7 linked regions of the Cricetulus griseus genome follow. The protein of the gene in region 1 purifies or fractionates together with the protein of each later gene. This does not show direct contact. Links are inferred from orthologs where the notes say so. Each region holds a gene or a part of one and is shown in the gene's direction. Other genes may lie near its edges.

Region 1 (3,183 bases):
TGGAACTGCTAACTCTGTCATTGCAAGAGCATCAAGTGATAAGATAGATGAAGGGACTGTCATGTCCTCGGAGAACAAGCTCCTTTGTTCCCCAGCATCAGGGTTCTCAGGTGATAATGAACCTGAAGGCTCTCCCTCACCTCAAACTGTAGGGCAGGGATTCCCAAGTCAGAAAGCTGTTCCGATAGCTTCCCAGGGATTCCCAAGTCAGAAAGCTGTTCCGATAGCTTCCCATAACCAGAGTGGCTAGCCTACTGTGGCATGGCCTCTTAGTTCTACTTCTGTTTGCAGCGGTAAGCAATCAATTGCCATTGATGACTGCACCTTCCACCAGTGTGTGCGACTCAGCAAGTTTGACTCTGAACGAAGCATCAGCTTCATCCCACCTGATGGAGAGTTTGAACTCATGAGGTGCCACTGGGGTGTGAGGAGGCAGGGGGTGCACCTGGAAGAGGTGGGAGGAAGAGAGCGGGACCAGCCCTGTGGTATCCAATCTGTTCTCTCCTCCAAAGATATCGTACCACCAAGGACATCATCCTTCCTTTCCGGGTGATCCCATTAGTTCGGGAAGTGGGACGCACCAAACTGGAGGTCAAGGTGGTCATCAAGTCCAACTTCAAGCCCTCACTTCTGGCCCAGAAGATTGAGGTGAGGATAAGGAACTTGGGGAAGGTGGACTTGACTCGGGAGTAGGGACAGATAACATTAGGCCTTCACAGAGCTCACTGACGATTGTGTCACTTCTAGGTGAGGATCCCAACCCCACTGAACACAAGCGGGGTGCAGGTGATCTGCATGAAGGGGAAGGCCAAGTACAAGGCCAGCGAGAACGCCATTGTATGGAAGTGAGTCTTGAGGAGGCCACAGCCAGGCTCAAGATGCCATAGTGTACCTTCTCGTTAAGTTTCACCTTCTGTCCTCTTATGTGGATTATGGGGTGAGAGAAGTGTGCCTGCTTTTCTAGGAGCCTGTGTTTGTATTGTCAGCTGAGAGAGACACAAAGAGACAGTGTGTGTGTGTGTGTGTGTGTGTGTGTGTGAGAGAGAGAGAGAGAGAGAGAGAGAGAGAGAGAGAGAGAGAGAGAGAGAGAGAGCACACGCACACCGGCACTTGAGCTTGTATGTGTCTATTTTTCAAAAGTATTTCCCATTGACCCTTGTCTTGTGTCTGAAACATACAGTCTAGGTAAGGGAGATCTCACCCATACGTGTAAAAAGAAATTGAAGCCCCAAGTGCTTAAGGTGTAACAAGTAGTTCTCAGGGCCCTGAGCTCGCATCCTTACCCTGACACCACCCATAAGCCCATATGCCCTTATTCCCTCTCCATGCTTGAAATAAGCAATCCCTACTTTGAGAATTCTCCAAACTATCACAGGCCACTACTGCCCATTATCCCTGTGTTCCTAGGATCAAGCGCATGGCAGGCATGAAGGAATCACAGATCAGCGCAGAGATTGAACTTCTGCCCACTAATGACAAGAAGAAGTGGGCTCGACCCCCCATCTCCATGAACTTTGAGGTATGGCGGGCAAGCCTAGTGCCATGGCTGGGTGTGATAGGAAAGTCTTTCAGATCAGTCTCTGCTCCTTGGGGGTGAGGAAACTGGGAAGTGTCTTGAGTTGATAGACCCATCCTCTTTAAGCCTCTTAATAGAAGTCAAAATTTGATCTGACAGAAAGCTTGACTTCTTGACTTGTCACAAAACAGTTCCTGAGAAACATTTAGATTGTTTAAAAGACAGTTAAGAGAATTTTGTTAGAGACAAGACAAGCTGATGTTGCTTTGTGTGAATTAGACATCATATTCTCCCTTCATTTTTGCAGTCCATGGTGTTGACAAGGATAAGTATGTCAAAGGTAGTTCTCTGATTACCTCCTGACATTAGAGGAATGGTTATCATCACAGCTGGGGCCTTCTTCAGACATGAGATGATCATAGTAACTCTTCACTTGGTAACCTCCTAGTGAGCTCCCCCACCCCAGCAATTCAAAAACACCTGTGGTAGATAAGGGCAGTGAACCATGGAACTTGCCAGAGTAGATCCACTGTGATAGGAAGGCCATGTTCCTAACTGGAGCTGTCCTCTGCCCAGGTGCCATTCGCGCCTTCTGGCCTCAAGGTGCGCTACTTGAAGGTATTTGAACCGAAGCTGAACTACAGTGACCATGATGTCATCAAATGGGTGCGATACATTGGCCGAAGTGGCATTTATGAAACCCGCTGCTAGCTGCCTAGTGGCAGCTGGCCCACCTCCCCACCCACCCTTTTCCACAGGTTCAAGTACCCCAGTGACCACTCGTCAGTGTCTTTCCTCCCTCCTGCTTTGCTGCCTTTCCTTTACTCTAGCCCCTGAGTATAGGTCTGAACCAGCCACAGTGGGACTGCTGAGGCGGTCCCCAGCTTCCTGGGCAGGGTGGTTTTTGAGGCTTCTCTTCCATCTATCTGTCCTGGCTTAGTACCAGGCCCTGAGTTTTGTGACCAAAGTCAGGTGGCCCCCTCTCCTTTCTACCCTTGTGGCCACACCTCTGCAGTAGGATGGTTGACAACCCCTCACCTCAGAGCTCCCCTAAAGGCCAGTAACAGATCCCCAGCCCTTAACCCCTACTCTGCTTTGGGATAGTATGCTTTGTTTTGTACACATGTGACTTCGTCCAGTTATAAACCCAATAAACTGTAGAGTGGAGTTGTTGGCTAGTGTTAATGGGGCTGTCGGGGAGGGTCTGGTGGGCCTGTTAACTCTGTGTAGCCCTGGCTGTCGTGGAACTCTGTGTGTGGACCAGGCTGGCCTCAAACTCACAGGGGTCTGCCTGCCTCTGCCTTCTAAGTGCTGGGATTAAAAGTGTATACTGACATGCCAAGCTTTGTTTTGTTGAGTCTTGCCACATACTGCCCTGGCTGACCTAGAACTTACTATAGACCAGACTGGCCTTGAAGTTTTGGTGATCCCTTTGCCCCTGCCTCCCAAGTGCTGCTATTACACACATGTGCCTCCACTCCAGGCTTTGTTTGCTTTGAGCTGGGTTTTCATTGTGCAAGCCCAGTTGGCTGAATTCAGGATTCTCCTGCCTCCACCTCCCAAGTGCAGTGTTGCAGATGTGAAGTTTTCTAGTTAGCATATATCAAGTAAGATTTGTATTTGTGTCGGGCGTTGGTGGCACACGCCTTTAATCCCAGCACTTGGGA
Region 2 (3,500 bases), on another chromosome or scaffold:
GACAGACTTTTCAGGAAAGCCCTGTTAGGTGCACTTTTCCAATCTTAAGAATATTCATAGTGAGATAGAGGAAATAGCTATGATCCTTTTAAACAACGAGAAACTGATTTTCCCTTTAGACTTGATGCTGTGGTGGTTTTTTTGTTTTGGTTTGGTTTTTTATTTTTTGAAACAAGTTCTCACTATATATCTTTGACTGGAACTCACTATGTTGATTAGGCTAGCCTCGAACTCACAGAGATCCATCTGCCTTGGCTTTCTGAGTGCTAGGACTAAAGGCACGAGCCATCACACTCAGCCAATTCTGAGCTTTTCAAAGCTGTCAGTATTTAAATATAAAATATCTTACTATTTATTCACTTCAAAATTCAAAGATGTACTGAGTTGGTGGATTTTTTTTTTTTTTTTTTTTTTTTTACTGGGTTCTTTTTTACTCAAAGCTTGCTACGTGACAGTAGTTTACATTGGGTGAACATGTTCCTCATGTCACATTGTGGATGAGGGAGTTCTCCCCTGCTACCCCATAGCTCTCAGGATGTAATCTACATTGAAGGCATTAGGCCTGGGTCTTTAGATAGATAGATGCTTTTTGCAGTCTGTACATGACTTTGATTGAATGAATCCAATTTCAGATCCTTCAAATCACTGACTACAGTGAAAGCAGTATTATTATCAAATAAGTCCATACAGTACCAGGAGTAATTACTGGCTTGACTGAACCTTCTCTCTGTGTGTGCTAATGAATGCTTTGCTCTGTTGCATAGCCATTGTAGAAGCAATAAATTTCAGGTAGTCTTGGAAAGGAGAAGAAGTGTACCTTAATTTCGTCTAAGAGGAAATAGCCTATGGAATCTTAGGAACCTCTTACATTTCTTGGTGAGTTTTATTTTGAAAGTTAGTGGCTCCCCCTTCCCCCTTCACTTTAGTTCCCTCACAGAAATTATTACCTGGGTATCTCTGAGATAAATCTAATCTCAGTTGTTTTGCCTGAGAAATTACGGTTGTGTCCATATACACTGTGAGGGAACAGGAAGTCTTCATTCCCTACTGGTTTCTGTATGCAAGAGAGCTATAATGCAAGAAAGAGTTTATTCTCTTCAAAATCACATTCTTCAGCTATTATTTAAAAAGCCACACTGTACCAAACAGGATTCAGCTTAAATTTTGAGTTTAGAATACATTATGTTCAAACTATTAGATAGGGAAATAAAAACTGAGGCAGGGGGACTACTGAAAATTACTCATTGTCAACTGATTAAAATGAAGCACTGCTTTTTAAAAAAAGTTACAGGATTCAGAAATACGGTATTTTTGTATTGTGTCTTTTAATCAAGTGTTCAGCCCCCCCTTTGTGTTCTCTATGGTGTAAATCCTTGATAAGTGCTTTTTCAATAAATCAATTTTGTAGCCCCTTCCTCTGTGCTGTGTGCTTAGTTCCAGCAAGGATGCAGTAGATGGCACTGTGTAGTCGAAAGTCCTTCTGGTGAGGCCTTCATCAGATGGAGAGGGCCCAGTTGGGAGGGAGTGGCCAATAGTCAGTGTCCTGATGGGTTGGGACATTCTGGTGATATGTCTTTTTTGAGCCCATAATGGAATATATTTTGTCCCCTACCCCTCTACCCACCCACCCTTTCTCTGGATTCTTCTTGCTTAGTTACATATGCCTTTTTCCTACCCTCTTGCTAACATGTGCCCAATGACATACTTCTAACCTGCTAATATTTCTTGGAAGGTAAGCTCTATTGCATTCTGATAATTGTGTATTTGATTTTAAATGCCAGAGCACCCAGAGGCACCTCTACCTACATTACCACTTATGCTAGTACATTGGAGTTTGCTAGTATTTCTGCTTAAAGAACTTAATGGCGGATTCATTAAACAGAGATCTTTGCTAACTTGGGACACTAAAAACAAAATTCTAGGGCCACTCCAGCCAAAGTTGCTGTCATCTAGTATGACTCAGAAAGTGCCCTCCATATTTGCATCAGGCACCACGTCCTCTGTGAGCACTGCTTTTACTGACAGCCAAGCTTTCTGCCTGTCAGAGGGTCTGTCTTTCTGAATGTGGAGCACATGCCAGATGCTGAGTTAAGTTCATCCCCAGGCAGTGGTTCTCCATAGCCCCAGACTGTCTGGTGTATGTGGAGAGGAATGACTGGGCTTGTTTCCATTTGGCTCTGAGCCAGGTAGAGCAGGTGTCTGTGCCTGGCCTGCAAGTAGGAGTGTTGCCTAGTTGCCCTGAATGTCTGTGTGCCTAACATTTCCACCTTTCCTGTTCATTATGTCTATCATGATCCAAAGTATGAGATTGTGGTTGTGTCCTCAGTCTGTGTGCATTTACCTTGCTTGACTTTTTATTTTTCTGTTTTTCCATTTTCAACATCTATCATTTGGTTCCACAATGTATCTGCCTCGGTTGACCATTAAATGTTCCAAAAAGCTCTGACCCAGCCTCCACATTAATTCTAAATTTTATGCTTTTCTAGGTCTCCAGAGAGAGCCCAGTCCTTGTCCTGTAATTACTGTAGAGCACTTTAAAGAACCCGTGGGTGCCAAAGGCCTCGCCCTCTATCCAGATCCCTGCAGAGTTCCTGGAACAAAGACCCAGAACACCTTAGAATCTGACTCCCTGACCCGAGAGGGGCCTTCCAGCAATAGCTCCTTCCACAGCAGTGAGGAGGAGGGCACCGACCTGGAGGGGGACGTGCTGGACTGCAGCGGGTCTCGGCCTCTCCTTCTGGAGTCTGAAGAGGAGGATGAGAGCTGCAGGCCTCCCCAGGAGAAGCTGGCAGAAGCCACTCTGTTCTCTGAACCTGGAGTGTCTGCTAACCCAGAAAAGGGGGGACAAGGCGGGAAAAAGAGCCAGTTCTTGCCAGTCAACCAGCAGGCCTCAGATGGTCTCGGAGAGCCTGATGTCTTTGCCACAGCCCCCTTCAGGAGCTCTCTGGTTCCAGCAGATGACATGGACATTTTCTCCAAAGCCCCTTTTGTCTCCAAGGGCAGTTTAGCTCCTTCCCAGACAGAGGAGGTGGACGTGTTCTCCAGAGCTCCTTTTACCAAGAAGAGGAGTGTGGAGGAGTTACTGGCCGTACAGGGCTCCTCACAGGATTTGCCAGTGCAGGCCGGCCTCAGTCAGCCTGGTGAAGGGCCCCTGCTTCCAGGCCTCGATAGAGCTATGTACACCCCTGCCCAGACGCAGGGTGTCTTTACGCAGCAGGCTGGTCTCCCTTCCCACTCTGTCCAGGTGGCAGACCATTTTGACAGCAGCTCTCCCAGAGGTTCTCCCATGGAATCTGGGAGTAATCCCAGTGACAGAAACAGAGGCCTGCAGCCCCAGAAAGAAGCCTTTTCTGGGCCGGTGGCTGGCAAGCAATTCCGCCCCCAGGCTTTGTCCAAATATTCCCGACACTATAGCCCAGAAGATGAGTCAAGTCCAGAAGCCCAGCCCATCGCTGCCTACAAGATTGTTTCACAAAGCAATAAGCAGTTGCTGGCTGGCT
Region 3 (3,130 bases), on another chromosome or scaffold:
TTGAAATGATGGGTGGTGAATTATACTGTTTCTTGGTCAAAGTTTAGCTTGTCAGCAGCTTTTTATAAAGGCTATGGACTTCGAAGTGTTTCTCATCCTCAGCTTGAAGTTTTATAGATGGCAAAAAAATAAGAGGTTTTGTCAAGTTAATCTTATGTTTTATGCTGCTAGCATTATGTATGTGTAAATATACTAGAGAAAAGACAAAAGAAATTTGCCACATTTCAGAGTCACATATCTTTGCTGCCGCTAGTGAGAGGCTGAGGCTGTGTTTATTCTTTATCAGTGTTCCTTGTTTATCATTATCTTTCTTAGGAGCATGCCTCTTTAAATGGAGAAAGACTTCATCATTGGACAAGATCATGATTCTTAGCTCATTTCCACTTTTTTGGTTTTGGTCTTTGTCCATTTAGCTGCACCTGAAATTATTTGAGAGAGAAGTGTGAAAGCTTTGAGGACAGTGGTGTGACCACTGAGGGCCACATTGAGAATGTGCCTGGACCTCTGTCCCCCACCTGCAGTTCTTTAACGCTCCCTGTGAACATGTTCTTGTGTGCTTGTGTTTTCTATATCTACTGGTTAATTGTAATGATTTTGATCCAGGGAAAAGACCCATCAACAAATTGGATTCTTCTGATCCCTTTAAACTGAATGATCCATTTCAGCCTTTCCCAGGCAATGATAGTCCCAAAGAAAAAGATCCTGATATGTTTTGTGATCCATTCACTTCTACTGCCACTACCAATAAAGAGGCTGACCCAAGCAATTTTGCTAACTTCAGTGCTGTAAGTACTGTGAATGGGCTGTTTGGGGGAAAATCTTTCCATTATAGTTTGAAGAGTTGTCAAAGATTTCTTCATAGTCTTCCAAATTTGCATCATTTTGCCAACATACTAAAAATTATCTTTTATTCTCCCCAAGCAAAATCTGTTTGCATTTGTTTTGCTGGTTCTTAGATGATTCCATTGTTCAGCTGATTTTAGTTGTCTTGGTTCTTTAAACAAGTTGTTTTATAAACCTGTCTTTCAGTCCTGGTAATATAAATATAAGTAAAGTCTCAACAGTTATATTTGGCAAATTGTCATGCATGATGGTGATTTAAAAGTTTGCTGTCTGCCTACTGTGTATAATGCCAGTAACAAGCTTGTATATTTATAACTGTGTATGTGTGTTTGTGTACAAAGTTTTAGCAGTTTCTAGAGACTGGTTGGCAGTTTCTGTGAGAGGACAGTGCTGGGGTTCTTTGAATACAAAGCAACACTCTTTACCCACTATATTCATGTACTAGCTTTCATGGTTTGTTGTTGTGGTTCTTTTTATCAGTCTGTAAACCCAGTTACTCATTCATGCTAAGTTTGTGCTCTACCATGATACCCTTTTCAGTTTTACGAAATAAACTGTTGTTAATATCTAAGAATTCTTGCCGGGTGGTGGTGGTGCACACCTTTAATCCCAGCACTCTGGAGGCAGAGGCAGGTGAATCTCCCTGAGTTCGAGGCCAGCCTGGTCTACATAGCTACACAGAGAAACTCTGTCTAGGGAAAAAAAAAAAAAAAATCTAAGAATTCTTTAAGAAACTTGGAGAAGTGTTATGAGAACAGCTTGGGCAAGGCCTTTATGGAGAAATGGAGCAACCAGTTGTAGCTGCATCATGTATTTCGTCATTGCTCAGATAAAACAGATCTTTTTTTAATGAAATTCTTAAAGTAGCTAACAAAGTTTCATTTTACCAGATTTTTTTTTTTTCAGTCAAAGTGACATTCATTACTACTGCCTGTTCTGTAAGAGGAATTTCCCTATGTATCACCTTTTATCCTTGACTTTGGAGATTCGAGATTGAGTGGCCAAATGTCCCTGGCCACAGTTTGCCTAATGTTTTCCTCCTCTGGGTACCATTTGGGTCATTTCAGTAGTTATTTTATCCCTGTTGCTACTCTGCATACTTAGAAAAGGGACAGGCAGGAATCCATATGCAGCTAAGGTAGTTGCAGTACCTACCTTTTGAGTCTGTCCTCTTAGGTTCCGTGGCATCTCCTAAATGTGAAGGAACAAGATAGAAATCCCTATTTTTAATATTGAAAAGAAATGGCACCTCAGGATCATCTTCCATATCAGGTGGAATTTGAGTTGTTTCACGAAGAAAAGAATTGGCTTTCTTAGATTGTAATCCTTGGTATAAAATAACACGGGAGTTTGTGACATTCAGTATGTTAAATATGGTCCTGCAAGTCAAAACCTGGTTGGAATGAATCTTGAACAATAGTGGAGGCATTTTGCTTATTTCATACTCAGAATATCAGTACAGTACAGCATAAAGTAGCTCACAGTGAAGTCTTCCAATTTCATTGTTCGAGATTTGGCAACCATACCAAGAGATACATGTACACTGTCAAAAGCTTTCTAGTTTGTTTCACTTGTTTTGATGGGCCTCCTCATGTGTCAACACTGAAACCAAGTAGAGTTTTGTATCTAGTTTCTTTGTAATTTGATTGTAGTGACAAATATTTTTTTTCAATCTAATCATCATCAATATTAAGGTTTTATTAAATATATAAACATATATATATGTGTATATATATGTACATATACACACTGGGTTATGTATAAAAGAATCTTCATAATGTGTTTTAAAAATATTTGGTTCACATACTGTTAATCTATCTGATGTTCTTATATATAGCAGAATTTGCCTGTTTTTGCTTTACAGTTTTGGTGTTCCCTGAAAGGCCAGGTAAGGCAGCTTCCGATCACCAATCACCGGTGGCATTAATCTTATGCATCACTCAGGCATGCTGCCATATGGTTGTAATTCCACCACTCAGGACACAGGCAGGAGGATCACAAGTTTGAGGCCAACTTGAGCCACCTAGTGAGATTCTAAGTTCAAAAAAAGCAAGGAAGGGAAGGGAAAGTATCACTATGTGATAAGTCATCACTAAAGTTTAAATAGCAAGCATTTTACATTGAATTGAAAGACTACACCACTCCTGTTTTTAGTCTAACCTAAGCATGTCTCCAGTTTTGAGATAGGATATCACTATATGTCCCAGATTGGCTTCTGATTTGAAGTCCTCCTGCCTCAGGCTCCCATATTCTAGGACTACAGGCATGTGCCACCATGCCTGTAACT
Region 4 (3,719 bases), on another chromosome or scaffold:
GAGACAGGCCTGTCCTTCAGTTGGCTTGCCACTACTACCCCCCCCCCCCGACCTCCCTCAACCCTACATTGTATTCTTTAAACAGCCATCTATTTCAACCTGAAATAGCAGCAGCCAAAAGTAACTCTCACTTCAGTGCTCCTGCTCTTAAATCTGGGCTTGTCGGGAAAGCTGACTAAAAGCTTTAAGAAGGGAAGTCCAAGGCAGGTGTGGTAGGGCATGCCTTTAATCTCAGGGTTAAAGGGGAGGCTGTGATGTCTATGAGGTTAAGGCCACCAGAGCTACATAGTTAGACCCTGTCTCAAAAAAAAAAAAAAAAAATGGGGTGGGGGGGAAGGACACACATCAATTTCCCTCATAGCCTTCACTCTCCCTTGAAGGTAAATCCAGATAAAATGGAAATGCACAGATGAGACTATCAATCCCAAAGAGAGTCGGATAAAGATCCCATCATCTTCATTCACAAGGATGACTCAAGGACAGGGGTTTCCGGCATTCTCCACCATTACACTTTCCATCTTCCACTCACTTGGTGTTCGCTCCCCCTCCCTGACTGCTTGCAGTTTTTGCTCTCCACCTGCGAGCCTTGACCTCCTGAGAGCTCTGCGGTTCCCTCCTTGCCTTTCCTTCTGCATCACTGCAAGGCCCACACTAGAGCCCTCTAATTCGTCTACCTCCACGAGGGAAAGAATACATTCATCGTCCCCTTCCAACCAGAGACGCTCCCCTCTGAGTATGACTCGACTGCTGTTTATTCCACCTTTCCCAGCCGCCCCTCCCCCACAGCGCCAGACACTGTCCCCTCCCCCTGCCATTATGCTCAGCTTCCTGATTCTCTTCAGAACACACTCGTCCAGTTTCTTTCTGCGCCTCCTCCAGCCACCAGGTCTTTCCCACCCATCTCCGCACCATTTCCCCCAAACCTTTCGCTGTCCATTAACTCTCCTCTTTCCCAGCATCCCCCTAGTTCCTTCCCCACCGCCATCTCATCCTTCCCAGCCCCTCCCCCGCGACTCCAGCGGTAGGATGGGGTGTCACCAGACCCTCCAATCTTTCTCATCCCTCATCCCATCCCCGACTACCTGCCAGGCCGGGCCGGGGTGGGGCCGCGGGTCCTCGCGCTGCTGGCAGCCTAGAGCCCGTTGCGCGCCAACCGATTCCTCGGTCCCCAACGAGATAAACACTGCCAGGCTCCGTCCTTCCGGCGGGCAGCAGGGCGCGCACGCGCAGTGAGAACCCTGGGCCCGACGCCTTCAGGGATTTGTAGTCTCAGGGACTTGTAGTCCTCAAGCTGCCTCAGGACTGGCAGCCGGAGGGGGGTGCGCGTGCGCAGAATACGGCGCTCTCCCGAGGGTCACTGGGTAATGTTGTTCTTTGTGGTCCGGGCAGGGGATGGCGGAGGCGGACTTCTCGTCCTCGCTTGCGTCAGTCTTGGGCACGGGGCGGGGCTGGAGGACTAAGAGCCGCAGCGCGTCCTGCCCCGCCGGAAGTGAAGGTGCGGGTCCGGCTGTGGGCTCTGAGAGGGTGAGGCGCGAGCAAACACCAACGCCAAGAGTCAGTGGGGGCGGGTAGGGGACGCTGCAGCCGGGGGCCATTGAAGGGCTTTCTTTAGGCGGTACTGCGGTGGCCCAGAGAGAAGGGATGAGGGGCGGGGACGCGCGATCGTGGGTAGTCCGGCGACCTGCAGTTGCCAAGCCCGGGAGGGGCGTGACGGGAGAAGGCGAGGTTCTGGATACGGTCTCTTCGGAAGCGGTGAAGCCCTCCGGTTGTCTGTTTATTCAGGAATCGGGAGAATTAAAGACTGGTGGGCTCGAGTTCAATATGAGAACCCAGACTTAAGGCGGGGAGGCACAAGGGATGGGAGAAGGTAGGAAGATGCTCTGAGAGAGGGAAGTGGGTTTTATGAATGTAAAAGGACACTGCAAATCGTGGGATGAAAGCGGACTTGGTTTCATCCAATCCCTATCCCGCCTTTCTGTCCTTGCAGCCCCTGCCCGGATGGCAGCAGTAGTTCTAGGGGGAGACACCATGGGCCCTGAACGTATCTTCCCCAATCAATCTGAGGACTTAGGGCCACATCAGGGTCCTACAGAAGGAACTGGGGATTGGAGCAGTGAAGAACCTGAGGAAGAGCAGGAGGAAATAGGAGCAGGCCCAGCAGGCTACTCCTACCAGCCCCTCAATCAAGACCCTGAACAGGAAGAGGTGGAGCTGGCACCGGTGGGTGACGGAGAGGATGGAGCTGCTGACATCCAAGACCGGATCCAGGTAGGGTGGAGGGATTGTTCCAAAGAGGGTGAAACAGCGCACCAAAACCTGGATGCAAATGACCTCCTGTTTCTGCAGGCCCTGGGGCTTCATTTGCCAGACCCCCCATTAGAGAGTGAGGATGAAGATGAGGAGGGAGCTGCAGCATTGAGCAGCCACAGCTCTATCCCCATGGACCCAGGTAAAAAAGCTCATTCTTTCATTTGGGAATACCCGTGAAGGAAACCAGTAAGAAGTTTCAAAGAACCACCTTACTCTTAAAAAGAAGGCGCGGTGGTGGCACATGCCTTTAATCTCAGCACTCGGGAGGCAGAGGTATGCGGATCTCTGTGAGTTCGAGACCAGCCTGGTCTCCAAAGCCACAGAGAACCGTCTCGAAAAACCAAAGGGGGGGAAAAAAGTTTGTTAACAGATTTCAGACTTCAGAATCTAGGTGAAATGCTACTTAGCTAGACTTGGCAATAATGTGGAATTGGTGATTCCAGAGTCAGGGGTCCTGTGTTGATTCAAGGAATAGGGAGAAGTGGTCCCTTATGTCTTCCCTAACCAGCCTGTGGCTATGCTTTCAGAACACGTGGAGCTGGTGAAAAGGACGATGGCTGGAGTAAGCCTGCCTGCACCAGGGGTCCCTGCCTGGGCTCGGGAGATATCGGATGCTCAGTGGGAAGATGTAGTACAGAAAGCCCTCCAAGCCCGGCAGGCATCCCCTGCCTGGAAGTAACCACACGGAGAGCTGCCCCGTCTCCTCCCTACATTGCAAGCCGGGACCAGCACAGGACTAACACAACTCTGGTTTTAACACCCACCTTCCCATGTCCCTTTCCACATCAAGGCAAATCAGACTCTCAGAGACCCACTTTATTCAGTTCTGTACATATGGGGACATTGGCCCGAGCCCAACCCACCTTAGCATGTATCATTCTGTGGAGAATAAAGCACCCTATGTACACAGCCAGAAGCCACACTGCCTGTGCCCCTGAAACCTGGTCCAGCCCTCCCCAGTCCTTGCTTTTCTGAGTGCCCAAAGGGTACAGGTGATGGCCTGCCCAGCATCAGCATAAGCAAGGAAAGAAATAGGTGCTGCAGGAGCCATGCCTGGGGCACTGCTCCTACTTCCTTCTCCATAGCTGAAAGCAGTCAGCCACCGGGTGGTCCCTTCCATGTTTGTTATCCCAGGACTGCTGCTTGCCATAGAGGGGCCAGGTAGATGGTTCATTCTCCCCACCTTGGTCCACTGGGCCTATATTCATCTAGTGTCCATAACATACATTTCTGACCTCTGTGTTGTCATGGTTAGGTGGAGGATAAAAGGAACACACCACCACCAACCCCTGCCTGCATAATGCTAGGGCTAGGGGCCTATTTGTGCTGCTGGGGGTCGGTTCTCCAGCTCTTCACTCCAAGGGCCAATGGAGCTTGATGTAACTTTGGTGACAATCTCCTGCTTTACC
Region 5 (3,500 bases), on another chromosome or scaffold:
AGGGTTTCAGAGCTGGCATCTGGACTGCTGGTTGGGAAGGTGGCCTCAGCACAGGCCTCCTGGACTGGAGGCCTTGTGTGTGAAGGCAGGGTAGCTGCTGTTCCTGCCTCACCTCTCTTTTCCTGGCCCTCTCCAGGTGGGTGAAACAACAGAGTGAGTTTGCAAAACAAGCCCAGAACCCAGACGAAGGCCCCAAATTGGACCTGGGCTTCAAGGAGGGCCAGACCATCAAGATCAACATCGCAGTGAGTCCTACCCTCACTTGACTGTGTGGGCCATGGTTTTGTGACTCTTGAAGCCACCCAGCCCAAAGTCTCCCAATCCCCCGAATCCTTCATAGTTTACTTCCATCCATGTAGCCATAGTTGACCCATCAGTTTGGCCTCGTTCACCCCAGGGTACCAGGCCTCTGCTTCCATGGCTTTCCAAGTTGAGCTGGCCATGTACAGATGCGATTGCAAAATGGCAGGAGAGCAGCCCTGCTACTAGGGCTTCTGGAGGAAAAACACATGGCCCATAATGCAGGAATCCATGGAAGCCTTCTTGGAAAGAGTGGCCTGTGGGCGGGCATGAGGGATCAGAGGGTAGCCACTCAGTACCAGTGTTTCTGTCCTGGCTGATGGAGTGATCAGGAGGTTCAGTGTGCTTATCTCACGCTGTATCTTGGCCTCATGCCTGAGTGAGGAAGGTTTGGGAGCACACTGTGCTGGAAGGAATCGTGGATGGATGCTGAGAGCCAAGGCAGCTTCTGCTGGTGGTACTGTCCTGGCTCCTTGAGTCTTCTTCCTGTGTGGCTTTGCATCCAGCATCCCCTGCCAGCACTTGTCATGGTGAACTGGGTGCCCAGACATGGTCTCTCCCTGGCTGCTGGAGTAGAGGGGTCGGTGGAATTGGAGGGCATTGGGGGAACCAGGGCCAAATGGGTCTGTTTGGAGGAAGCGTGTGACTCTGAATTGCTTGTCCTCTTTACTCACCGTTTCTTTCTCTTTCCTGCTTCATGCTGGTGATGCTTTGGAACCTTGACGTTGGCCAGCTGGCCCTTGAGAGAAAATGCAAGGCCAATCCAGTGGACTAGTGGCACTGTGATTCTTTCTCTTGCTTGGAAGACACTAACATTTAATGAGCGCCAGCTGTGGGCCAGGTAGTGTTTTCAGGCATTTCTCATATGGCTTCAGGATGTCCCTTTGTAAAAGATGAGAGATTGAGGCACAGAGCTGGGGGGGGGGGACTTGGCCAGGGTAGGAGAATTAGAAATAGTTGGCCCAGCTGGATGCACGTGGAGGATGCTGAGTCTTCCACCCCTGCCACACTGTGCTCACGCAGAGCTGCTGTCCTCATCCACGTGGCTCGTGCCGGTTTCCGGCTCACACTTGGTGCTCAATGCTTTATTATGTTGTGTCGAAGTGTCACGTGCAGAAAAGTGCTCAAGTTATAAAACCGAACAAAGGGCTGGGAAGATAGATGTTGCAAGCCGGACAACCTAAATTCAAGACCCACATAAAAAGCAAAAAGAAATGCTGGGTGTGGGAAGCACATGCTTGTAGCCCAGTGCTAGGGAGACAGACTGGAAGGTCCCTGGTGCTCACTGGGCAGCCATCCTCACCTAAGTGGTGAGGTCCAGGGCAGCGAGAGATGTAGACTCGAGGTGGCTGGTGTTTCCACCGAAGATGGCACTCAGGGTCAACCTCTGGCCTGCATACTCACATGCATCCTCAAGCACATGTGTGAACACACACACACACACACCCTACCTTCAAAGCATGGGACTTCCCTAGGTCAGGAAACACACACACACACACACACACACACACACACACACACACACACACACACACACCCTACCTTCAAAGCATGGGACTTCCCTAGGTCAGGAACCACACACACACACACACACACACACACACACACACACACCCACCTTCAAAGCATGGGACTTCCCTAGGTCAGGAAGTAAAAGACTGTGTTGGGAGCCCTTGTCCTACCCACTTCTGGTAGCTTCCTGCCCTGACTTCAGATACCCTGGATTGGGTCTGTGCTTCGCTTTTGTGAGTTGTGTGGGAGAATTAATCCTTTCGTATATGATCCCCCTCATTCAGTGTCATGTTGTAAGAGTTTCCCATATTGCTGCCTGGGTGGTTTGTCCTCTGTGATGGCACATGCCATTGTGTGTGTGCTCCTAGCTCATCTGTCTCACTGAGGATAGACACTGGGGGGATGCCATCTGGTGAGCTCCAGCTGGTGCTGCTGTGAATGTTCAAGCTCATGTCTTTGTGGAGCACATGTGTCTAAGGATGAGACCTCAGAATCCTGTGATGCGCTTAGTGGATGCCTTTGGCTTCTTCAGCAGAGTCCTCTGACCGGCTTCCCTTACCCCACTGTGCATGAATGTTGTGGCCGCTCCGTCCCTGTCAGTACTCTGCAGTTTTCATGGGGCAGAATGGTGTGTGGCTGTAATTGTTGTGTACTTTCCTTATGAAAAGTGAAATCAGGTGCTGGGTTTTAACATCGACGGCATTGGTGCTAGATGGAAAATTGGGATGGCCTGGCTATAGCTCCTGCTGCTGCTGAATGGGACTATCGTTTGCTGTACAGATGCTGAGGACTGGAGGTCTCCATGGGTTTTTCCAGTACATGATGACTGTGGCATGATGGCTGATTTGCATTCTTCTCTTCTCTTTAGAACATGAGAAAGAAGGAAGCAGCACCTGGGACGCCAAGAACCAGGCCTGCCAGCACAGGAGGGCTGAACCTGCTGCCCCCTCCTCCAGGGAGCAAGACCTCCACTCTTATCCCTCCCCCTGGGGAGCAGTTGTCTTTTGGGGGCTCTGCAGCCCAGCCAGCAGTTATTTCTGTTTCAGGTGAGTGCTGGGGTGACCCCTGCATCTGTAGCTGGCAGCTGTGATCTTGTTGCTTCCCTTTCTCACACTCCCTGTGTGTGTGTAGATGGTGGCTCTAGAGTGTGTCTTGCATACACTTGACGTTCTTCTATTTCCTGGCCTTTCTCCTTCCCCTTCAGGACATCTGTCCTGTCCTGGTAGGCAGTGACTGTGAAGTTCTCAGTGTTCAGGTGTCTGGGCCTCAGTGTGTTATCAAGTAGTCTGTGCCCAGATGTCATGGGAAAGGTGAACCACAGGTGCACAGGCCAAATGTATCGGGCCCAGGTCACTAGGGCCAGCAACATCCCCCTTGGGGGACTTTCCGGAGGAGCTTAGACTATGAAGGAAAGCCACTCGTCAGAGGTGTTGGCATTCTAAGTAGAAAGAAGAGTGAGACCAAGGCTCAGGTTTTGAGAAGCACTGTTCTGAGGTCGATGCAGCCATTAGTGTGCCATGTGAGCAGGAGACACCACTGGGGAGATCTGGTGTGGGCTCCTTGGTGCACCAGCAAGAGCTGGGAAGCTGAGAGGCTGCTCCCAGTGGGCAGTGCTGGGGAGCTCTTTCCCTATACTTCCCCAACAAGCTGGGATAGTCACCAGCCCTTTTCCACAGCATTGTCAGCAG
Region 6 (3,500 bases), on another chromosome or scaffold:
TCCTTGAACACAAGACTTAGCTCCATTCCACTTCCTGGTGCTCTTTTTCTCCTCAAAATTTACGTTTTGTTATTTACCCTGCTCAGCTTGCTCCTTTGCATCATAAATCTTTATAAGGGTGAACACTAGTAACCACATGACGGAGTTTGTTCTAGGCTGTTTTGAGATTTCCTCTGTCGACAGAATTAAACCATATCTCTTCAGTTTAGCCTCAGGCATTATCTTCAGACAAGGGCAAAAGGCAGCCACTTTCTTCACCAAAATATCTCAAGGACTATCTCTACGCAACGTATTGGAATTCTTCTCTGAAACCTCAGGAGTGAGCCTCTGTCTTCTTCCATGCTCTTAAACAGAGCTTAAAGTATTCCACTGCTTTCCAAACCTAAGTACCTAAGTCCAAATTCCTCCAAACAAAAACATGGTTAGGCCAACACAGCAGTACCCCAGTCCCTGGTACCAACTCCTGCTTTAGGATTTTCATTGTTGTGAAGAGATACCATGACCACGGCAACTGGCTCACAGTTTCAGAGGTTCAGTCCATTATCATGGCGGGGAGCATGGCAGCAGGCAGGTGGACATGTGCTGGAGAAGGAGCTGGGAGGACAGAGAGACAGACACAGACACACCGGGTAGTATCCTGACCATAGGAAACTTCAAAACCTGTCCCCACTGACACACTTCCTCCAACAAAGCCACATTTCCCAATAGTGTCGCTCATTATGAGATTATGGGGGCGAATTATATTCAAACTGCCACAGGTTTCTATATGTAACACCCCTGGCTGCCCTGGAATTTGATTTGTAGACCAGGCTGGTCTCGAACTCACAGAAGTTCATCTGTTCTGCCTCCCTGGTGCTGGGACTACAGGCCTATCCCACCACACCTGTATTAGACATTAGAACACGAGGCCCCAGTTTAAGGGGAGCGTGAGTTATTTTTCATGATTATTTAATAGGCAGAAAGAATAGGCCCTCTAGCATAGCGGAAAAAAAAGGACTGAGGCCTCAGGCTTGCCATTTTCCTTTCACAGGGCATCTGACTGGAAGTTAGACCAGCCAGATTGGACTGGCCGCCTCCGAATCACTTCAAAAGGGAAGATCGCCTACATCAAACTGGAAGATAAAGTTTCAGGTAAGCGCAGGGGTGCTCTCAGACATGGGGGTGCTGGGTTGGTAGGCTTTTGTCAGTAGACTCAGATGGGGGACTGGCAGGGAAAAATCCCTGTTAATTGGAGTTAGCTTTGCTTCTGATGCTCAAGGAGGTCTCTTTCTTGCTGTTAGGGGAGCTCTTTGCTCAGGCACCAGTAGAACAGTACCCTGGCATTGCTGTGGAGACTGTGACAGACTCCAGCCGCTACTTCGTGATCAGGATCCAGGATGGTACCGGTAAGGAAGCTGGGGTTTCTGGTGGGATGAGACCAGGAAATAGCGAATGAGCTCTGATACAGTGGTTGTCTTCCTTTTGCTAACTTTTCTTCCCTTGCTTTCAAAGTTACTATGGTTATCAAAGAAAAAGGGCTAACATTTTATAGACGTGAGCATAAGTTCAATTGAGTTTAAGTTAAATTAATCAAAATGCTTATTTAACAAAAGACATGCACTACCATGCCCAGCCTCCTCATACTTTTTAATAGATTGGTAACCAAAGACAATAAATATTTTTGGCTTTGTGGGCCACGTTGTAAGTGCTGCTCCCAGTTTGGTGGTTGCAGGGTGAAGTAGCCACAGACACATTTGTCCAAGTTGATGTGGCTGTATTCAGTAGAACTTTATTTTCAGACTCTTGCTGTGGGAAGAGTTGGCCTCATTCGGCTGCATGTTATCTGCTGCCTGCTGCTGGTCTGTGAGAAAATACCAAGCAGATTTTATGCAGTTCATGTGACATGTTTGTCTCTGATAGGCAGAAGTCGTCATAAGGAACCCGTTTTCTGAGATTGCTCCTTTTTCACAGGGCGTAGTGCATTTATTGGCATTGGCTTCACAGATCGGGGGGACGCCTTCGACTTTAACGTTTCCTTGCAAGATCACTTCAAGTGAGTGAAGCTTGTCCTTAGATTTCAGGGCTAGTAATCCCGGGGTGGGAGTGCTGCTTCTTTCTGTAAGGGAGTTCCTCTCGCCACGTGGTTTATTCAGTAGTCTCTTCTTTACTTTTTCCTTACCTTTGTACCTGCTGTCTTTCTCTACAGCCTGTAATATATTTTAGGTCCTTGTGCGGTGGTTTGGGTTGATGCTTGTTTGTGACCATGGGGAATTTACCTTTCTCCTAAAGAGGTGCTGGAGGGTGGCACACGGTGGCAGCAGCCTGTCCATGACAGGTGTGTGCCCGTTCTGTCAGTTTGGCTGCTTGTGTGTCTCCTGCCTATGTATCTTCTTCAGCCCCACTGAGTTTGGCACAGCAGTAGTGAGCAGCACCTAGCACCACATCACTTCCTGTCTCTAGGACGGTGTAGCCCTCTCTTCTTATTGCTCCTAACTCTGACATTTAAAGCCCCGAGATGGAACCTGCAAGAACATGGTAACCGACCCCTCTCCTTTGGGGCGGTACTCTGCAAGGGCCGAGAACCGTTGGGAGGGATGCATCTCCCATGCGTTCCCTATTGCCCCTCAGTCTGAGCCCAGCTGGCCTCTTGCAGACTCTTTTCCCTTTTCTTTCTCATGTCTGATGGGTCCCCACTCGGCTTTCTGGAATTCCAGTTGTCTGAATGGGATTTAGCCAGATTCCTGTCAGACTCTGCTTCTTCAGGGAATTCCAAACTGAGATAAATTATTTCCCCAAAGGTGGGTGAAGCAGGAAACTGAGATTTCCAAAGAATCTCAGGAAATGGACAATCGTCCCAAGTTGGATTTAGGCTTCAAGGAAGGTCAGACCATCAAGTTGAGTATTGGGGTAAGTGTGATTTCTTCCTTTTTTTTTTTTTAATTTTCTGTGTATGGGTGTTTTCCTGCATATATGTTTATGCACCACAGGCATGCAGTGTCTGTGGAGGCCAGAAGAGGGTGTTGATCCTCTGGACTGGAGTTACAGGTGGCTATTAGCCGCTGTGGGGGTTGTGGTGGTGCTGGGATTCAAACCTGTATCCTCTGGGAGAGCAGCCAGTGCTATTTACTGCTGAGCCATCTCTCCAGCCCCTATTTTCTTTTAGGAGACAAGGTGTCACTGTATAGCCCTGGTTGGCCTGGAACTTGTTATATAGATCAGGCTAGCCTTGAACTCACATATCTGTCTGCTTCAGCTTCCCGAGTGCTGGGATTAAGGGTGTATATTGACTGAGATTTTTTTAAAAAATTATTTTCCTGTTGTTCTTTAGGTCAGTGATCTCTCTCTCTCTTACAGAACATTACAACCAAGAAAGGAGGTGCTTCTAAGCCCCGGGCCTCAGGGACTGGGGGCCTGAGCTTACTCCCACCTCCACCTGGAGGCAAAGTCACTATTCCCCCACCATCCTCTGTTGCTATCAGCAACCATGTCACCCCACCGCCTATTCCAAAATCTAACCATGG
Region 7 (3,500 bases), about 62 Mb from region 1:
TGACTGAGGAAAGGGAAAGTCATGCAGCGTGCAAGCGTGCTGTGAGGAAGGAGGAAGTTGAGCCACGAGAACTCTGCTGGTTTGTGAGGAGTGGAGCAGCGCGTCAGTCAGCGTAAGTGAGGGGCCTGTGCATTGAGCGGCCTGCAGTGACCAGGACAGGGAAAAGCAGGGGTTCCCTGGAAACCAAAGTCACCACTGGCCGCAGCACTGCCCAGCTCAGGACCAGGGACTGTGGTACTACAGCCTCGTCACAGTCACAGCAAAGACGATAGCAGGTCTTTCTGAACATTGTGACAGCCTTCAGAAACTGAGGCTTGGAGAAATCCGTCATTGCCCAAGTGTCGCAGAATTAATTATTAAGTGGCAGATCTGGGATTCAGCCCCCGTGCTGAAGTCTCATCTGACCTCGGGCTGGTTCAGAACCTAACATTTAGGGAAGGAGTGTCAAGGGAGATGTCCCAGACTTTTGTAAAGGCACAGAGCAAATGGCTTCCCTTCCACTCTGGCCTGGAAGTCCTGACATAGCTGAGAGGAGTAGGCAAGGCAGAAGCACTGTGATCACTGGGCAAGTAGGAAGCGACAGGTGGAGAACACAGTGATCTTGGTGCTAAAATGAAAGAAAGTCAGAATGTTTAGGTGTAGGGAGGTAAGAATCCATGCAGAGCAAGGGTCAGAGGTCACACACACACTCACAGAAGTTTCCTGTTTCATGCAGTCAGATCTTACCGCAGAAATAAAAATCACCTCAGTCAATCGCAGACAGATCCAGACCAGCTGTCCTTGCACATGAACTTCTGCTCCTTATCCATTTATGTGGAGAATCCAAGTGGGGCTTGTTTTAGTTGTTTAAGTCGCCGCCATGATTTTTAAGTAGATAATAAGTGCCTCACCTGCCTTTGCAGCCTTGTCTCCTGCCCTGCCACTTCCTCTCCTCTCGAGGCCTTTGCCTTTGGCCTGGAGTGCCCTTCTGCAGTGCTAGCTCTCAAACCCTTCTCGTCCTTCAGGGCTCAAATGCCTCTTCCCCTGTGAAACTGTCCCTGGTGCTCCAAGGCAGGCTTTGTCCTTCTTGCCGCTCTGATCTCACGGTGAGGCAGGAGAACTTTTCTGTAGTGTGTTTCACTCCTCCAAGTGATATATTTTGCTGTTTTTCTCTCTTCCTGGTACACTAAGTTCCTATTACTAGAGGATATTCTTATAGCACTTTAATGTTAATAAAATGCCAATTCCCAACTATGTGGAGGGAGCAGAAGTGATGTTTTCCTCATCCTTATAACCCCACGATGTCCACAATCATGGGAAAAAACAAGCACAGTCCAGTGCATGGCCTGTTTTCATGTGTCCACCTAAACTGAAACACCATTCAATCCTGAAATGTCTGCCCCGTTACATCAAAGTATAAAAGATGCACAGCCAGTGCATCTGAAGAAGTAAGGCTGGGTGGGGCTCTGGGAGCGGCCGGCAGGGTTTTTAGATCTCCACATTTAAAATGAACAATTGCAGAGAAGCCACGAGGCGCCTAGCATTCCTGCCAGGCAGAGACGGTGTCTCTGTCTTGGTTGATTAAAAAACTGCAGTGTAATCACGGGTCCTTTATGTCATCCCACACAGGGTGAAAAAGTGGAGGGGCTACAAGCGCAAGCCCTGTATCCTTGGAGAGCCAAGAAAGACAACCACTTAAATTTTAACAAAAACGATGTCATCACCGTTCTGGAACAGCAAGACATGTGGTGGTTTGGAGAAGTTCAAGGTCACAAGGGTTGGTTCCCCAAGTCTTACGTGAAACTCATTTCAGGGCCCGTGAGGAAAGCTACCAGGTACTTTATTGTTATCTGCTTCTGTTTGACGGAAACAGTATTAGCAATTGTTGTCCCTGCTGGTTAGATTCACTGGTGGGAGCTGCAGGATGAAGTGTGTGTGTGAAGGGTGGAAAGGGATCCCGTTCTCCTGAGCAGCCTGTGCACTGTGTTGCCTTGTCTAAGAATCCCGCAGCTGTTGGGAATTGTGACTCTGGATGCTTAGTACCCAGTACAGTACCAAATACAAGGCATTTGGGGAATCGACTGGAAGAATGAATGAATGGCTTTCTTCATTAGTGTCTGCATGTAGCATAGAACTATTGGATTATTCCACCATGCAAAGATAGCAGAAATAGCCCACAACATCTGCTAGTCAGTGCTGAAGAGACTGCATTGAGCTTGTGTGTCCTGTGTAGTGAGTGGGCAAAGCAGACGGGTGAGCGTGGTCACGCATGCCTCCAGCACTCTCACTGTGGCCGTACCCAGCTGCTAGTGACTGCTGCAGCTTTGGTCTTCTGTAGCTTTCAAAGAGAAAAGCAATGTCATTTGGTATTCTCAGGTGAGAGTTAAAATACTCTTTTCTTCCCTTCTTACAGCATCGATACTGGCCCTACCGAAAGTCCTGCTAGCCTAAAGAGAGTGTCTTCCCCAGCAGCCAAGCCAGCCGTTCCTGGAGAAGGTGAGGACGGGGTGTGTCCGCTCTCTTTAGGAGGCTGAGCACATTACTTGGTGCAGACTGTAAATGACCATGACTGGATTCACTTTTAAATAGGCCGGATGTTTCTGTCCTGCCTAATGATGTCTGGCAGTGAGAAGCCCACTGCGTCCACCAGGGGTCAAGTTCTGAGCATGTGTCAATGACGGCCTTGCTTCCCCGTGTAGCCCTCTTGTCTTGTTTACATCCATAACTGTATTGCTTTAAAACTGATGGCACAGTCCAGTGAAGCTCTCAGAACACCACGAGTGCCTTGGGTACACCCCAGCTGAGCCACAAGATCTCTGTGCTCTGTGAATGACCAAGTCAGGTTACATAGGCTTATTACAAATAATTCATTGCTTTTTTCCCCCCTCTGACCCTTGTTATATGGCATAGTCCTAGGTATTATATGCCAGGCTGTAAAAAGAGGTATTTTAAAGTTTTACACAGTTGAGGCCTCACTGGTCTCCTCCACGCTCACCGCAGTCATTACCTGGTAGCGCTGGCCGGGGCCACCTGAGTTAAGCATCTGTGTGGCAGTGAGCAGGCTCTGCAGTTACAGATGTCGGCAGAGGTGTGTGGCAATCTTTTCACAGGTGTCTGGAGTACATCTGTGATGACAGAGTGTGCTTCATGTGCTGTGGTAAAATTGTTGTGTTCCTTAGAAACTTTGCCAGCGGAAAACAGAGTTCTCGGAATAATTGCTTCAGCAGAGGCTGCACGGATGAAGGCTTAATGCTCGTTCCAACTCCCAGGAACACTAGTCCATTCTTAAGGAGACTTTTCAAAATAATGGTTGTTTAGTTTGCAGGCATAGTTGTAAAACCCTATCGCCACTTAAAAAATTCCAAATTTTTCCACGTAACTATTACTATTTTTTATATGAATATACATATTTATTATTATATGGACTCTCCTAGGATAATCTTTACACATTCACATTTCCTTAATAATTATTTTAGCACTATTAGAACAAGGCAAAAACCTCTTTTTTGATATAACATGCT

What was found.
Region 2: the proteins of Ap2m1 (region 1) and Aak1 purify together in Homo sapiens (affinity purification with mass spectrometry; 5 studies listed by BioGRID and IntAct, counting the BioPlex papers as one, with this or other methods). This does not show direct contact. The link is inferred for Cricetulus griseus from reciprocal best matches to the Homo sapiens genes AP2M1 and AAK1.
Region 3: the proteins of Ap2m1 (region 1) and Eps15 purify together in Homo sapiens (affinity purification with mass spectrometry; 4 studies listed by BioGRID and IntAct, counting the BioPlex papers as one, with this or other methods). This does not show direct contact. The link is inferred for Cricetulus griseus from reciprocal best matches to the Homo sapiens genes AP2M1 and EPS15.
Region 4: the proteins of Ap2m1 (region 1) and Mea1 purify together in Homo sapiens (affinity purification with mass spectrometry; 3 studies listed by BioGRID and IntAct, counting the BioPlex papers as one, with this or other methods). This does not show direct contact. The link is inferred for Cricetulus griseus from reciprocal best matches to the Homo sapiens genes AP2M1 and MEA1.
Region 5: the proteins of Ap2m1 (region 1) and Necap2 purify together in Homo sapiens (affinity purification with mass spectrometry; 4 studies listed by BioGRID and IntAct, counting the BioPlex papers as one, with this or other methods). This does not show direct contact. The link is inferred for Cricetulus griseus from reciprocal best matches to the Homo sapiens genes AP2M1 and NECAP2.
Region 6: the proteins of Ap2m1 (region 1) and Necap1 purify together in Homo sapiens (affinity purification with mass spectrometry; 3 studies listed by BioGRID and IntAct, counting the BioPlex papers as one, with this or other methods). This does not show direct contact. The link is inferred for Cricetulus griseus from reciprocal best matches to the Homo sapiens genes AP2M1 and NECAP1.
Region 7: the proteins of Ap2m1 (region 1) and Itsn1 purify together in Homo sapiens (affinity purification with mass spectrometry; 3 studies listed by BioGRID and IntAct, counting the BioPlex papers as one, with this or other methods). This does not show direct contact. The link is inferred for Cricetulus griseus from reciprocal best matches to the Homo sapiens genes AP2M1 and ITSN1.

What each region holds. Positions count from the first base shown.
Region 1 is NC_048597.1:68,094,040-68,097,222, reverse strand, and holds the end of Ap2m1 (AP-2 complex subunit mu), read left to right. Parts: intron 1-291; coding exon 292-411; intron 412-512; coding exon 513-648; intron 649-747; coding exon 748-845; intron 846-1,407; coding exon 1,408-1,519; intron 1,520-2,092; coding exon 2,093-2,227; 3' UTR 2,228-2,683; downstream 2,684-3,183.
Region 2 is NC_048601.1:58,727,063-58,730,562, forward strand, and holds part of Aak1 (AP2-associated protein kinase 1), read left to right. Parts: intron 1-2,486; coding exon 2,487-3,500.
Region 3 is NC_048595.1:40,446,703-40,449,832, reverse strand, and holds part of Eps15 (epidermal growth factor receptor substrate 15), read left to right. Parts: intron 1-603; coding exon 604-785; intron 786-3,130. UniProt on the Homo sapiens protein: Involved in cell growth regulation. May be involved in the regulation of mitogenic signals and control of cell proliferation. Involved in the internalization of ligand-inducible receptors of the receptor tyrosine kinase (RTK) type, in particular EGFR.
Region 4 is NW_023276806.1:256,099,485-256,103,203, forward strand, and holds Mea1 (male-enhanced antigen 1), read left to right. Parts: upstream 1-1,381; 5' UTR 1,382-1,392; coding exon 1,393-1,495; exon of another isoform or gene 1,496-1,524; intron 1,525-1,987; coding exon 1,988-2,268; intron 2,269-2,346; coding exon 2,347-2,449; intron 2,450-2,837; coding exon 2,838-2,989; 3' UTR 2,990-3,219; downstream 3,220-3,719. UniProt on the Homo sapiens protein: May play an important role in spermatogenesis and/or testis development.
Region 5 is NC_048595.1:12,176,806-12,180,305, forward strand, and holds part of Necap2 (adaptin ear-binding coat-associated protein 2), read left to right. Parts: intron 1-136; coding exon 137-245; intron 246-2,680; coding exon 2,681-2,858; intron 2,859-3,500. UniProt on the Homo sapiens protein: Involved in endocytosis.
Region 6 is NC_048601.1:22,311,587-22,315,086, forward strand, and holds part of Necap1 (adaptin ear-binding coat-associated protein 1), read left to right. Parts: intron 1-1,030; coding exon 1,031-1,131; intron 1,132-1,280; coding exon 1,281-1,385; intron 1,386-1,950; coding exon 1,951-2,032; intron 2,033-2,777; coding exon 2,778-2,886; intron 2,887-3,333; coding exon 3,334-3,500. UniProt on the Homo sapiens protein: Involved in endocytosis.
Region 7 is NC_048597.1:5,925,777-5,929,276, reverse strand, and holds part of Itsn1 (intersectin-1), read left to right. Parts: intron 1-1,608; coding exon 1,609-1,814; intron 1,815-2,392; coding exon 2,393-2,475; intron 2,476-3,500. UniProt on the Homo sapiens protein: Adapter protein that provides a link between the endocytic membrane traffic and the actin assembly machinery. Acts as a guanine nucleotide exchange factor (GEF) for CDC42, and thereby stimulates actin nucleation mediated by WASL and the ARP2/3 complex.